Oreochromis niloticus: one gene and its partner. The protein of the gene in region 1 binds, or shares a complex with, the protein of each later gene. Links are inferred from orthologs where the notes say so. Each region holds a gene or a part of one and is shown on either strand. Other genes may lie near its edges. The genes, in order: pex14 and pex5.

The links.
Region 2: the proteins of pex14 (region 1) and pex5 are in contact, whole or in part, in an NMR structure (PDB 4BXU), measured with the Homo sapiens proteins. The link is inferred for Oreochromis niloticus from reciprocal best matches to the Homo sapiens genes PEX14 and PEX5. Residues at the interface, in NP_004556.1 of Homo sapiens: Thr31, Phe35, Asn38, Arg40, Val41, Ser44, Pro45, Thr48, Arg49, Phe52, Lys55, Lys56; in NP_001124497.1 of Homo sapiens: Glu59, Leu62, Val63, Glu65, Phe66, Leu67, Gln70.

The regions. Positions count from the first base shown.
Region 1 is NC_031984.2:22,474,420-22,482,013, forward strand, and holds the start of pex14 (peroxisomal membrane protein PEX14), read right to left. Parts: upstream 3,010-7,594; 5' UTR 2,905-3,009; coding exon 2,869-2,904; intron 510-2,868; coding exon 459-509; intron 1-458. Other genes in the region: dffa (DNA fragmentation factor subunit alpha), read left to right, coding at 4,887-4,977, 6,217-6,375, 6,482-6,636, 6,838-7,042. UniProt on the Homo sapiens protein: Component of the PEX13-PEX14 docking complex, a translocon channel that specifically mediates the import of peroxisomal cargo proteins bound to PEX5 receptor.
Region 2 is NC_031976.2:23,446,037-23,454,106, forward strand, and holds the start of pex5 (peroxisomal biogenesis factor 5), read left to right. Parts: upstream 1-4,816; 5' UTR 4,817-5,047; exon of another isoform or gene 5,048-5,052; intron 5,053-6,001; exon of another isoform or gene 6,002-6,023; intron 6,024-8,070.

The DNA of each region.
Region 1 (7,594 bases):
ATACTGGATCTCCCTGGGGAATGTGTAATACAGCCAAATAAAAGTCTTTAAATTATCAGATCTTAGGGGGGGGGAGAGAAAAACCATCATAATCTTCCTCAACTATGCATCACCAGATCAAGCCAAGAAATTAGAAGATTTTCATTCTTTCAAAATCGCACTAATACTTGAGTTTTTGAAAAATCCACACTTCTGAGCACTAGTATTAAGAATCACAGCGTGTGCCATGTGAGAATATCTGAAATATTATTTCCAGCCATTATGATACCCTATTCATTGCTTTTTGTTTTCTTTACAGGAAATGTAATTTAATATTTGCATCGTTTGATCCAAGCTGCTATTTCTTTCCAGCTCTCACTTACATTACTTACATTAGCTTCATTTAATGTTTTTGTGGTTACAGTCAATGTTTCCTTACCAATAATTCATGTAATTCAGACTAAGGAATAAATTCTTACCAGTTCTTCTCTGGGGCTACGTGCTCCATCTTTTCCAGGCAGAAGGCCAGGCTGGGAACATAAACAAACATTTGTATTAGAGTGCCATCTAGTGGAAAACAGAAGTAATGTCAGTTTGAAGCTTGGTAACTATGGTCGCCCTTTACAAGCACACGGTATGTAACGTTGCTGGCTCTATCTATTAAAGTGATAGTATTCGGTTATTCAGGTATGGGACACTTTTACAATAATAGGCCTCACGGCTTCTTTCAGGCATATCAACAACATTTATGCAAAGTGCTTCAGCACTCTTTCGCATTTTGGCAAATTTTTGCAAACTGATCAGGCAACTCTTACACTTAAAAATAGTTTCATTTATTAGGATCCCCGTTAGATACAGACTGAACCCTGTCAGAGCCTGTGTGAAGTACAGAACACAATATTATCTGCTGCTAGATCCTGATCAAAACTGCCTGAATTTTGGGGATAATTTACTGTGACTGAAGTTACTTCTGTGGTGTCGGGTGCATAAATGTGAGCAACTCTCGTGCATTTGAAAAGCTTTTGAATGCATTGTGCTGCTGTATGATTCTGCAGGTACGTAATAAACTCAGAAGACAGAGTTCTAGAAACAGCTGCAAGCATCAAACTAACTACCTACCTAACTTCCTGTTAGCTTCTGTCAAAAGTTAACTACAGTCATAACTCAGAAGTTTTTTAACCTGTTCTCATCATGGTGAAGAGTTTAGCTTCATGCTGTACTCCATAAACATTTCCCTATGTACAGTAACAGATGGGAAACTGTAGAAATTGTGAAGAAGGGAAAATTCACAACACAAATAAGTTGATTGTGGAAGGGTATCCATTTCACTGTGACGTTTATGGAGCAGTGCTTGTAGTAAAATATGGACAGATTTTGTTCTATGGGCAGGAAAATAAATAAATAAATAAAAAAAGGCTATTTGTCATTTCCACAAGATTGGGAAAGAAAACATTAATGATATAAATGGACTGGTTCTTATATAGTGCTTTTCCATTTGAGCACTCAAAGCACTTCATTTGCCCATTCATACAAACACTTTTTTCTAGGCCTTAGCACTTTCTATGGAACATTCACACACATTCTGATGAACACATTAGAAAGCAACTTGGGTTAGGAAATTGCTTAAGGATACTTTGGCAAGCACACTTGAGCAACAGTCTGTATGCCTACAATTAGTAGATGAGCTGCTCTAACTCCTACGCTACAGTTACTGTTTAGAGAATTTTAAAAACAATAAAAATGTATTTAAAGTGTTTATTGTAACTAAGCAACTCACACAGATGAAGGGGAAACAGAAAAACTATTGTAGACTTGAACAGGCCCATGCCTGTAATGTGAAAATGCTTCCAGCCTTATGTCACGTTGAAACTTTTATTAAAAGTGTCATTGCTACTTATATAAAAAGTAACGTCCAAACATGAAACCAGCAAATTCAAGTGGAGTCAGATAAATATTTTAGAATATATTTGAAAGCCTACCAACTTACATAACTAGACTATAGTTATAGCTTAACAGATTCTTTTACTTCCAGAAATAATTTGCCCACACTGAGAAATTTGACCTGTCTGCTACGTGAATGGCATTTTCAAAAAAGAAAAAAAGTACTGAACTGGCACATGCCAGCATTCATTTGTAGATTTGTAGAAATCTGTTGCTCATAAACTGAGTGATAACTTTACAAGTACTTGTAAATACTGTCAATCCACACAAGTTCCTTGATTACAGTGTTCCTTGACTTTATTAGTTTCTGCATTTGGTAAACACTTTCTATACACTTAAAGCCGTTAGCTCTCAACTATGTACATAAAAAAAACTTTTATATTTCTCTACAGCATATATAAACATCTTTTTTTCTGAAAACAGCATCTCAGCTGTAGCAACAAAAAGTACAGAAGTCACGGGTGACATACATGAATAAAAACCTTCGGTGACATTTGTTTTCGGGGGGCTGGTGAGTTCAAAGCCAACACTGTGACTGCAACCCAACAGAAACCATCAGGTTTGTTTGCCTACACTGACCTTTGAGTTGCACCTACAGTTATCTGCACACAGTAAGACGAGGCTACACGCTCAGATGCAATTGTACAGCTGAATCGTTTGATGACAATGGCAAATCTAGTAACTATGCCCTATTATTTTCGACACAATATGGCAACTCTAAATGACGCCCCTTCCTGCCCACTTGTAAACACACTCATGTCTCAGTGACAACTTTTGACTCGTAACCTAGCTAGCATGCTAACTAGTAGGCATGCTAATCTCTAACTTTGTGAGCATTTCCAGGCACGTGATGCCAACGTTAAGACATCTAAAGCCCCGAAATATCTAAAACAGTTCACTACCGCAAATAGACATTAAAAAGAAACCGCTTTTAATGCATATAGAGACCTGTGTTGTTGCCTCAGCTTGGTCGTTGGATGCCATCTTCTTCTTCTTCTGTTCCTTCTGCCACACTTCTTATTCTGGTATATTTCTACCACGCAACATGCTTTAAGATGCACTGCTGCCTCCTGCAGGGGAGTACGGGACACTGCAGGATGAGTCTCACTCCAAAGTTTCACTCCCCATTCTTACTGTCTGTTATTGAAACGCTACAATATAAAAGCACATCAAGTTCGGTTTCAGCTTCCTCATAGCACATTCTCATGCTCACACACCTTCAGTAGATCTTAGACTAAGACTTCTGCGTGGTCAATGTTGATGACTGTCTTTCTTTCACTGCCAAGAAAACTTATTTTTTGTAAATTGTTTTTATTTGTTTTGTCTGTTTGTTTTGTTTTTGTCATAGTAGAGCCTATTCTACCTTTAGACTTAATGTCAGCTTCATCATTTCCTCAGCTGAACCCACCCTTGCGCCTAAAGAACAAGAAAAAAAATCTATACAACAAAGCCAACAGCTTAGTCACGAGGTGTGGTAAGTCCCTACTTGTTGAAACGGATTTGCATTCAGCCACCAGATAATAGCTTAATATGGCTTTGCCCGGGGCCCCTTCAGAAATCACAATACTTAATGAATTCACAGCAAGAAGATACTACTTATTTACTCTATTTCATAAATAAGAAAAACAAATAAATAAAACTATAAAGTCATTTGCTACAGCAACCCCCTAAAAGTCAGACCCCAAAATGCTAGACTTACAGCATTAAAAGGGATTGTTTCAGGTGACATTGTGATGTAAGTGGTGCATTTTTGGACCATATAATGCAGTCTTCTTTTTCTCTCTTTAGGGGTTGCCACAGGAGATCATCTGCCTCCATTTCATCCCATCCTTAGCATCATTTCTGTCACACAACCCTCTGCATGTCCTCTTTCACTACATCCAAGAACCTCCTCTCCGATTCTCTTCTTTTCCTCTTGCCTGGCAGCTCCACATTCAACATCCTTAGTCCAGTATATCCACTTCCTCTCGTTTGCACAATGTTCAAACCATCTCAGCCTTGCCTCTCTAACTTTGTCTTCAAACTGCTCAACTTGAGCTGTCCCTATCATGTACTCATTTCTAACTTCTAGTTTCTGATTTTTAATTTCTGGTCACTCCTAATGAAAATCTTAACATCTTCAATTTTGCTACCTTCAGCTCCGCCTCCTTTGTGTGTGTGTGTGTGTGTGTGTCAGTGCCACAGTCTCCAAAGCATACAGGTCTCAGTGCCATTTTATAAACCTTTACTTTCACCGCTGTTGCTATCCAACTGTTACAAATCACCCCTGATAATCATCTCCACCCGCTCCACTCTGCCTGCACTCTCTGATTTGGATGGCTGAACCTAGGTATTTAAACTATTTAAACCCACCCCCTTTTCAGTATCTGTACTCTTGGTGGTTTCACTGTTACACAAACACACATTCTGTCTTGATTCTACTGACTTTCATTCCCCTTGTCTCCAGACCATACCTCCACCTCTCCAGGCTCTCTTCCACCTGCTCCCTAGCTATTTATTTTCACCACGCAATTAACCAACCAAATGTCTTTAAGAAAGAAAAAAAAGAAAGAAAGAACTGGACTCCACTGTCAGGCCAGACTTTTTGGTCGCCATCTAGCGGTCACTTGCGGTAGTCCACCTTTAAAACAGGAGCTCCTCTGAAGGACATGCTATTATTCTCATATTTCTTATGCCTAGAGCTTGGAAATAGTTAATACAAGATTTTTTTTTTTTTAAAAATACACTCAAATTAGCGCTATAGAGGTTATAGCGTTATATTCAAACTGTAAACACAAACGCAGTTCTTTCTCCCGCGTTTTCCTGTTCGAATTGTTTTTTTGTATGTGCTAAACTACATATCCCAGATTCCATAGCGGCGCGGCGGCAGTTCCGTATTCGAGGATAGTGGTGGTAGTTGCTGTCGGTAATTGTCAGTATTAAGGTAAAAGAAAGCACAAAATCTGCTTCTCTAAACGCAGACGAGAATGACGGATAAACCGTGTAAGGTGTGTAATTTCACACGACAAAAATCGTATGGGGTAGTAGCTCCTTCCATAGATGAGCTTAAGGAAAAAGGTAAGTTGTCATGACTTTACATTCCTGAACTTTATCATGCTAGAGCTTCTCTTTAATGAAAGCTATATATTCATTAATATTGAACGGGTGTGTGACAGTGACGTGAAGTACCGTCTCACGCAGTCAAAGGTTGTGGGTGCTGTATTTAAATGTCATTTTAGTTTGCACTGGTGCTGAGCGCTAAAAGCGGGGTTCTCTTATTGCGAAAGTGAAAGAACTTCATATGTTCAGTGATTTTTGAGAGTGTTGGGAGGCACCAACATTACAGCTGAGGTGATTATTGCTATTGCTGTCGATAAGCTTACTTATCTAGTTGTGTGTGGTAGCAGCAGCAGAAGCAGCATCTCCATTTTTATCCATCGTGTTTAAACTTGCAGAAGCTAAACATGAAAAGTCATTGCTCTTCCTGCTCATTCCTAGAAGGCTAGTCACCAGGCGTTGCCCCCAGATTTTTTTTTGCATTTTTCTCTGTTTAATAAAAGTGTTTCTACATCTTTGATTGTTATATGTGTCAGCAGAGCTTGGAGGAGACAAGGCTGGGTCCTTGATTTTGAAGCCGCCTACATGAAGATACTAGAAGTGTGTTTCTGATTCTGATAAAGTCTCCTGTAACTGCCAGTGACAAAACTAGGGTGCTATCTGAAAACCCCCCTCTTGGTTTTGAAGCTAGCTTAAAGTTATCAATTGCCTTTATTCCTATTCAATATACATAAATAAATACTCGTATATGAAATATTGAGCTGGGGCACTATTAAACTAGAGGTGCTGATTTATAGCTGTTAGAAAACATGTACAATTTTAAAAGCCAGTGGAAGTAAGACATGTTTTGTATTGCAAATAGGAGCAGCTCTAAAGAAAGGGCTGTTGACTCTTTAAATGGACTGACTTGTTTGACATGTGGAAGTATGCTGAATCACCTGATGAACAGGTGGTGTCTGAGGTATTACTGCTTTGAATATTTGACTTATGGGATACACTAATACTGATTGTTTTCCTCTGAAATATGGGCGGCACTGTCGCCTCACAGAGAGAAAGATCTGTGTTGGATTTGCTGGTTCCCCCGCCACAGTCCAAAGACACGCATGTGAGGTTAATTTGTTATGCTAAACTGGACTTGCGGCGCATCTTTCCACAACAGTCAGCTGGGATATTGAATCGGATGGATGGATAAACACTTTGAAGTATAAAAATAATCTGGGACACTCTATAATATTTGTAGTTTCTCTGTTCTTTTAACAGGTCGACAGTGTCTTGGGTTCAACTCCAGTGACTCAGTCACAGTGGTCCTAGAGAATGATGGGACAGTAGTAGAAGATCAGGCTTACTTTTTGTGTTTACCCTCAAACACAAAATTCATGCTACTGAATGACAAAGAGACGTGGTCTCCACCTTGCAGGAGTAAGCAGGTTTACTTTTGTCTGACATTTTTCTGCATCCTTTTTATCATCAATCATTTATATCCTGGGAATGCATCACCTTCTGTTAATTTGATATTTACTTTTAGTTGATGGTGGCACAGCTTGGATGGCTAGGGATTCTGTGTTGCTGGAGACTGATACTGTGGACAGCTCCAGTACTGTAGCACCTTGGTATGAACTGGCTCAGCAGCTGAAGCAGGACCTGACTAGCATTATTCTCATGTCTGAGGCGGACCTACAGGTACCAACATTATATGTCAAGTATAAGAAAGTGATAAACACTCTTTCTTTGTCACTATTTTTAATCACATAAATAATAGGTCGGGCTAATGGGATGTTCTTTTTGCTGTCGACATGTGCTGTTGTCTGTGTTTAAGTGTGTTAATCAATCTAAAAATAGGAGCCGCAAATTGTATTTTATTGTTTTACTTTGCTTTTTCAGACCTTAGTGGATGCCCCATGCCCTGAACTAGCCTCTGCTCTGGGCTTCCAAGAGAAAAAGGCCCAGGAGCTCCAGGAGACGCTGCAGAGGGTTTTAGATCGAAGAGAGCAAGAGAGGCAATCCAAAGAATTGCTCCAGCTTTACCTGAAAACTGTGGAGCAGGAGAACAGACAACAGGAAGAAACAAGTCAGCCTTCTCAGGGAGGTACGGCTGTGTCATTTTAAGGTGGTTGCCATGTTTACTGTATGGAAATAGTTTGTTGAGATAAATATATGAAAATCAGATTCCCTGATTATTGTAGTGTGACACGGATACACAATATAAACTCTGTAACAAGTTAAGTCTTGCATAGAAAGCTGTTTCTGTGTCATTATTCAAGCTGGGATACAGAAACTCTGTGAACTACAGTACTGTGCAAAAGTCTGGAGCCACCCTTTATTTCTTTATATTTTGCTTCCAGTGAGCCTGACTTTTTTGTAATTCTTCTAGGTAGCCTTGAGCAACAGTTTTTCCAAGGCTGAAGCCTTGCGCTTCAGCTTTTTTGACATTTTGCTTTGTGCATTGGCTGTTTTTTGTACTCATTTTCAGTGCAGTCCTTGTACCTGACCTTTTTTAGGGAAGGTATTCCACTGAGAGGTTTGTTAAGCCACTTAACACTGACCTATGAAACAAGCTTTAAAAGGCGCCTAACTCGAGGGATGAGCCAGCGTTTTGTCTACACATAACAGACAGCATAGCAAAGTACCAATGTTAAAT
Region 2 (8,070 bases), on another chromosome or scaffold:
CTCTTTGCATCCTCTCCTGACACATTCCTCGGCCAAGTCCACACACAGAGTAAAGACAGTGAGGTCCGACATCACGGGGTCACGTATTCATGATGAGCTTGCAGGTGTTTTGCTTTTGTTTCTGTGAGAGCACTTTACGTTTTATTAGGAACTTATTTAGCGTCCACTTCATCCTTAACCCAAGCTGGCACTTCTGCAGCGCTCCAAGAAGGCAGACTGAGAGCCACTCGGTGTGTTTTCTACTTCAAAATCGAGTCTTCGCAAAGTTTCAGCTCGTGACACAAAATGACAAAACATCACCTCGTACAATAAAGCTGGTGTAACCTGACCTCTGAGCCCCCACACACACACAGTGACCGCTGCAATGCCTCTAAATGACTCTGACTGCACTGTTTGACTCACTGCACACTGCTCTTACAGTAACTGCAAGACGCCACATGCACACACACAAACAGAAACACGCAGACACACTCCATAACGCTACCCGTGCTGTTTCCAGAATGTCCGCTCAGCTTGGGCAGTTTTGATTGTATTGATTGTAATGAATTTTCTGTACATACGATGATGACTATTATGATATTATTGTTATTACTATTATTATTGCAGCCACTCTTTCTCTTTATCTGCACATTTGGAGAGAAAGCTGATCATCATTTACTTTTCCCCATTTGAGAATCACCTTAACAGCATCGAAAAATAGTATAATAATAATAATAATAATAGTAGTAGTGATAAGGATGATAATCCCTGGCTTGATGAGTGTCTCTTAATTTGTGTGTAATATTGTTGTAATTTAAGAACTTGTCGATATCACAGAAAAAGGAGGGCACATTGTTGTGATACCAAGAAGCGTCTCACTCATTTCATCTCGCGCACTTCTTGCCGATTATTTTTCACATTTCAAAATATTTCTTTATTATTTCTTTTTGTATTTGATTTCCACTACATCCGTTATTTTCGGTTTAATGAATGTACAACCGTGTGCTACTCCTCACCTTTCCCTACCCCACCGCCTTTTCCCTTCACCTCTCCCTCACTGTCCCTCTGTGTCTCTTGCTGTCTGTCTGTGTAGCCTATCAATGTGCAGTGCTAACGCTGTCAGTAAATAAAAGCCTGTTGTTTTTGAGTGTGATGTTAAGAAGGAATAAACATTGCATTGATTAAGAACTTATATTATTACTATGTTACTATTCAAACATTACCTGTAATTATTGATACAATGACAACATGGATTATGCTGACTAATTGTTATTGAGAACTGTCAGAAAACATTGCAAAATTCATAATAAAAACACTATATGACGTCTCCATGAGAGGGTTTTCTTGTTAGAGTGGGGGTTTTCATGCAAATAACAATATTGTAAGTATGACTTTGTACATGAAATTTAACCCTGAAGATTTAATCTTATATTACAGATTATGATATGATTATAAAATCTATTGTATGCACAGCAGAGAACATCGGAGTAACTTTGTGCTGAAAATTAGGGGGAATCAAGATTTCTGTCTAAATAAATAAATAAATCTTGGTAAATTCCCATATGATTAAACATGCAACTATTTTGCTGGTAATAACTGAATTGAGTAAAGAAAATCAACAGCCTATTTATGCAAGATAATTTATAATTTTATGGGGGGGGGTTATTGATTGGGTCTGATTATTGGGGGGGGGGGGGGTCATAACCCCCCCCAACCCCCTGGAAATTACGCCCCTGGCAGAGAAACACCGGGGAACTAGAACTAATATTACTAATAATAAAGACAAAACTACAAATCTGACAGTCAACACCAGAAGAACCATTAAGTCATAACAAGGACTAAACAGTCAATACTAGAATATCTTATGAAGTATCCAGACGTCTGAAGAATAAAGCAAAAGCTATAACCATAAAACAAACAAACAACAACAAAAGTAGCTTTTAGTAGATTTTAGTATTGGAAAAATATAGAAAATCATTCATGCAGCAATTCTAGAAAACAGCTAACAAAGAAATAGACATATGCTTTAAAAAAGGTAACTAGAGTAGAGAACTACTCAGAGAAATAACAATTTCAGAAGTTTAGTTAAAGGTTTACATGAAAAATTCAAATATATGATAAAACTTTGAAATTATAGTCAAAAATACTAAAAATCTGAGCATGTTTAGGATATTTAAAAACATTGGTTATGGTTAAAAGAAAGAACACCCTCTTTCAGTTCTAAGGCTTTATATCAGGACATAAAAAATAATGTAGTCCTTAGCAGTTCTTAAAACGAGGTAAAAACAAACATTATTTAACAAAAACTAAACAGTTGAGGTTTGTAGGCATTCATTTATGCACAGCTCTCTTAAGGTCTCACCATATATTTCAATCAGGTTGAGCTCTGGACTTTGACTGGAACATTGCAACACCGTGACTCTTTGCTTTTTTTTAGCCACAGTGTTGTAGATTCCCTGCTGTTCTTTGGACAATCGTCCTGTTACGTGACTCAGTTTATAAAAAGCTCTAGCTGTCAAGAACATGACCTCACATTGGATTCTCTTTTATATATAAAAGAGTCCATGGTCAGCTCAAAGACTTAAAGGTGCCCCGGTCCTGTGCCTGCAAAACAAGCCCCAATCATCACCGCTTCACTGCTGTGTTTGGTAGTTGACATGAGGTGTTTGTGCTGATAATGCTGTGTTTGTTCTCTACTTTGGTGTTGTCTCTCCAAAGCATACTGTTCCAAAAGCTTTGTGGTTTGTTCAGATGTGACTTTACAAGCAATAGCCCTGCTGCCATATTCTTTTTAGAGAAAAGAGGTTTTCTCCTGGCAACCCTCCTGAACAAACCATACTTGTTCTGTCTTTTTCTAATTGTACTGTCATGAACTTTAACATTCAACATGCTAAAAGAGGCCTGCAGAGTCTGAGGTGTAGGTTTTGGGCATTTTGCAGTTTATCTGATCATTTTCTGAGTTTTCCACTTGCAAATCATTCGATAGGCAACAACAACTGCTTCTCTAAGATCACTGCTAAAATCTTTCCTTCTTGACACTGTGTTAACGCACACAGACCAGCACACTGCCATAACTTTTATAGAGGTGATCAAATGTTATGGTGATCAACCAATCAAGGGCCTTTTGCTTGATTAATTGATCATCAGCAGTTAATCAAACTGAATAACTGGCTGCTCCCGGCTGCTACTTAACCTCTTAATTACCATGTACTCAGTGGGTCTGCTTATTTTTTTCACACATTGCTCCTTCTTTTTTAGCTTAACATGTGTTAAATAAAAAATAAAAGAATTCAGGAACTGTAATAAGCATGATTAGACAAGGATTATCATAATTATATTAAACCCAGATGAAAATGTTTTCACTTTGAAACATGTGGAAGACCTGAACTTGGCTGTTTGTGTTAGTACCATGTGGTAAACCTGCCACAGTGTGATGTGAGGATTATTTTCCTTATTAGCTTGGCAAATCTGGTACAGTACAGCACCAGATTTCTGTCCTCTGTGGCTGCTTCTACTTAAATAAATGACAGTAAACTGAAATAGAAAACATTCTGATCCTTTTTTAAGCAAAATGATCAGTTCAGCAACACTAAATTTACATTAAATGTCCTACAATTCAAAATTATCTGATCATATAAAACTGACATGTACTTAAAGTGTGACACACAATGTAAAGCTCAAAGTTTTATATAACTAGGCATTACATTGTATGTTTTTCTATCCAGGTATGCTTTTACACTATTGGCGACGTGTTTGGGATCAGTGCTGAAAAATGAACATATTGCAATTCAGATGTTTTCCAGATGGTACTCTATGCCTTTCTGTGTTCATAATTCCATAAATTTGGACAAGATCCCCAACACCACTGGCTAAAACGCAGCCCTAAACCATGACAGAGCCGCCACTGTGTTTACAGATAGACTCTCACTGTGTACGTCTCTCCTGACATCCTCTGTATATCCTCACATTTGAACCAAAGACCTGTTGCTACTGATTTTCGTTTCAGTTCCTGTGTAATTTGACATACTTCAGTTTTTTCTCCTTCTTTTTCCTTCGCTAACAGTAGCTGGATTAACTGAAGGGCCAGCTGGATCTCTCATGTCCTGTGTCAAGTCTTTGCTGGATTTTTTTCCTAATTTGTAAGGACATTAATTTAAGATACTGTTCATCTACTGAACACTACTTTTTTTGTTTGTTTTTTTAAGTACAGACTGCACACCATGGTGAGATATACCAGGTTTCAACTCATAGCACTTTTTTCGATTCTGCAAAAATACAGACTTATGTCTGTCAGATTGTGTTATCTTAGGCATTATTCAGATTCAAGTAAAGAAATAAGAACAAATGATGTGGTTTTATGATAAACTGCGAGTAAAAAAACTACATAAAGATAAAACAGCTTGTTTTTTTGGCTAAATTGTCTTGTATATGCAGACACAACGTTGTTAGGTGTCGTTTTTATGCTTACATGGTTCATATATCAGTGTTTAGTGGCTAAAACGTATAAACGTTCCTCTCAAAATGGTTTGGTATAAGAACAGGGCTGAATTATTTTTTTTTTTTAAGTGAAAATCTCTAAAAAGCGTGGAGAATTATTCCTCAAAACAAGTATCAAAGACAGAAATCAGGCTCTTTGGAAGTAAAATATAAAGAAATGGTGGTTGGCTGAAGACTTCTGCACAGCACTGCGCGTTACTTCCGTGTTTTTCTTTTTTTTAACAAATACATGTTTCATCCGAGAAGCGGACTTTGTTCTCAGGCATGTTACATTTTAACGTGAGGCTCTTTACGCTGTTTTTTTTTCAGGCACTAACGCTTCCTTACGCATGCGTAAAACCAGTTGAAGAATACGTAACCGGCGTAACGTGCACGAGCCAGGCTAGCGGTGAAGGGTTTTGTGGGTCATGGGGGAGGAAGGTAAATAAAAGCGGGGAGCTAATAGCACTCAGCGACTGGTTTCGGACGGTTGCTGGAAAATTTGTTCGGACGGAGGTGTGAGAGCGGGACAAGAGAGGACATACCGCCGGAGGGAGGGACTGTCGCTCGGATACAGCAGCAGCTGTCGGCGGTGAGGTGAACAGTATGCTTCCCGTCTATTCATGCTTCTTCGCTGGGTGCACACTACGGGAGTGATCTCTGCACTGGCCCTACTGCAGCTAGCCAGCTAGCCACAGCTGATATTTTTTGAGTTCCGGACGGTCGTGAGCGTCCTCGGTTTCCCTTTAGGTTTCATGAACAGCACGCTGGTTATATAAATACCACAGAGTATCGCTTATCGAGCTAATGTTGCTGTTTGTAGCTGAAGCTGCAGTTAGCCCCGAGCAGCTCTATTTTATTACACAGTGCTCCCAGAAAGGTAACAATGCAGGCAGGTGTGTTTAGTTGATATCTATAACTAGTGGACTATGTGTGACAAAAGCAACCTTCGCCTATTCCTATCGTCTCCGTGGATTTGTAGTCAATAAACAGGTGTCATAATGGCCCGTCTTTGGTAATGTGTGTATTAATATCTCTGTCTGATCCTCTTACTTTGACCCTAATCATAATACAGCAGCCATTTGAAGCGGTGGGACTAAAGTAGCCTTTAAATCTTCAGCCTGGACAGCAAGAACAACAGTCCACCTGTAAGGTGTTGTGTAATAGTCACTGAAGTGTTTTTAGGTAGACGCTCACATGCGAGATTAGGAAGGGAATTAATTTTTATGTTCCTCCTCTCCAGGGAGGTCAGCATATGTAATTGATAGGGGTCATTGAAGTTCAGCAGCAGAGTTTCATACATCTGGTACTACATTTCAGAGTGAAACAGTGTCACAGTATTGTTTATTATTTTGCTTTTAAATGTTTAGGTGAGTAATCATCAGATGAAACAGGATCAGTTGAAACTTTTGCAGTTTATATAGCTGTTATTTTAGACCTGATATGGAGTATTGTGCAAACATGCTGCTCTTCATTTCTTTATATTTTGCTTCACAGAGGAGCCAAACATTCTTGTAATATAGTAAAGTGGTCTTGAACACTTCTCAAGTTCTCAAGGCTTTCTGAAGGTATTTCAAAGTTTTTATTTAGATATTGGCTGTTTTTTTTTTTTTTTTCTCATTCATTTTTAGCCCAGTATTTGTACCTGACCAATTTCAGAAGAATGTTTTTTTATTTTAGTCTCTTAACACTGACCCACTATCCATCATTCAAGCATATAAAAGGCACCTAACACAAGCGATGCACCAGTCTTGTGTCGACTCTGGTACAAGCAGCTTGGCAAAGAATAAACTGTATCATCAGGTACTTTACTAGCAGCCTGTAGCAAAACACATCATTTCTTTAGATTAATTTGAAAAATGCCAATGATAACAGTCTGATATATCTACAATAGTAGTTTTGCTTCAACAAAGTAATTCCCAAAGAGCTGTTAGCTGAGTGCTTGGAATGTCTCAGCATGGTGTGCAGTATGTCCTTAAAAACCTTTTGAGCGAACCGGACAAGTGGAGGTGAAAAGAAGTGTCAGGCCTAAAAGAACAAAAAACTATTTACAGCAGACTGGAAATATCTCAAAGTCAGGTCCTTAAGAATCAGGAAAAAATCCATGAAAAACCTGGTCTCAGTGGAAAAGCCTGCGGTATGCCAAATTATCCAAGAAATTGACTGAAAATCAGTGGCAGCAAATCTTAGAATGATGAATCCAAATTGAAATTTTTGATTCAAACTGTCGTCAGTGCGGTACAATGGTGAGTATGAACCTTTTTTCCTCCCTTTCAGGCAGTGGTGCTGGGATCTTGTCAGAATTGATGGAATTTTAAACACAGAAAATCCATCAGATTTTGCCATTTGGAAAGCATCTGATTGAGAGCAGCTTAATTCACTGCCTGGATAGCAAAACACACAAATGGACATTATCAGTAATGGATTGTCCTTCCCAGAGCATCTACCTCAAAATGATTGAAGCAGTTTGGGATCCTCTTGACAGAGAACAGAACAAAAGGCAGCCAACGTCCAAAGAGGAGAACTATTCTTGAAGACTACTTAATAAAATTATAAGAAAGCTTGCATAACAAAGTTCCAGATATTAACTTTAAAGCACATTAGAGTAGTACAAATCTTGTTGGGGTGGTTTTTTTTTTTTTTTTCAGCTTATGTTCTATAGTTCAATGCATGTTTGCACATTTCAAGAAATCATTGCCAGTACATGTATTTTCAATTTTCCTAACAAAATATAAAGAAATGAGGGGTGGCTCAAGAGCTTTTAACAGTAATGCATACACAAATCCGGAGTATTTGTGCTAGCATTTATCAAAATAAGCATTTCTCAACTGATTAGAAGATTTGCTTAAATAAAATAGTATTATATGTAGTCAGTGTAATAGTATAGTGATGCTGATGTTATTTATCCTGGTAAACGCTGTTAAAAGCAAAAATCTTCTGAACGTACCAGATGAGTTAAGTGAAACATGCTGTGGATGCCTGTGCCTGCTGAGCCATCATATTCTCATTATTAATGGTTCACTAAGAGCCAGAAGATGAAATGAAAAACAGCAGATGGAGCTTGAATTTGTGTGTGTTTCATGAGGCTATTTGAGCAGCCTGAAGATTTCACTCGGCCTGTCAGCTGTTAAAGGGGTCAGGAAATTGAATAATTATTTTTAGATGTGATGGAAGGGACACAAAACAATGTGAAGGACTAACTGAACTTGAACTTCTAAAAACTTACTCTCTGGTACCGAATTTTGAAAAATGTCTTTCAGGGTTGAATATTTGGAGTGTTAAAAATTAAAACATTTTATATTTTGTTTGGTGTCTCAAATATTTAAGTGTTGTCATCTTCTAATTAGAAATTGGACCTCATACTGGATGCTTTAGGATTTGCAGCTTTTAATTGTTCCATTGAGGTGCTTCACTCTACATAGTCCATTGCATGATTATCACAGTAAAACTAAATATGAAAAAAGAAAATAAATGGTAATAGATAAAATCATAATTGGATGGCGTGGTGGTGCAGTGGTCAGCGGTGCCAACTTACAGCAAAGTGGCCTTGAATCCACCTGCTGACTGGAACCTTTCTGTGTGGAGTTTGCGTGTTCTTCATGTGCGACACATTGG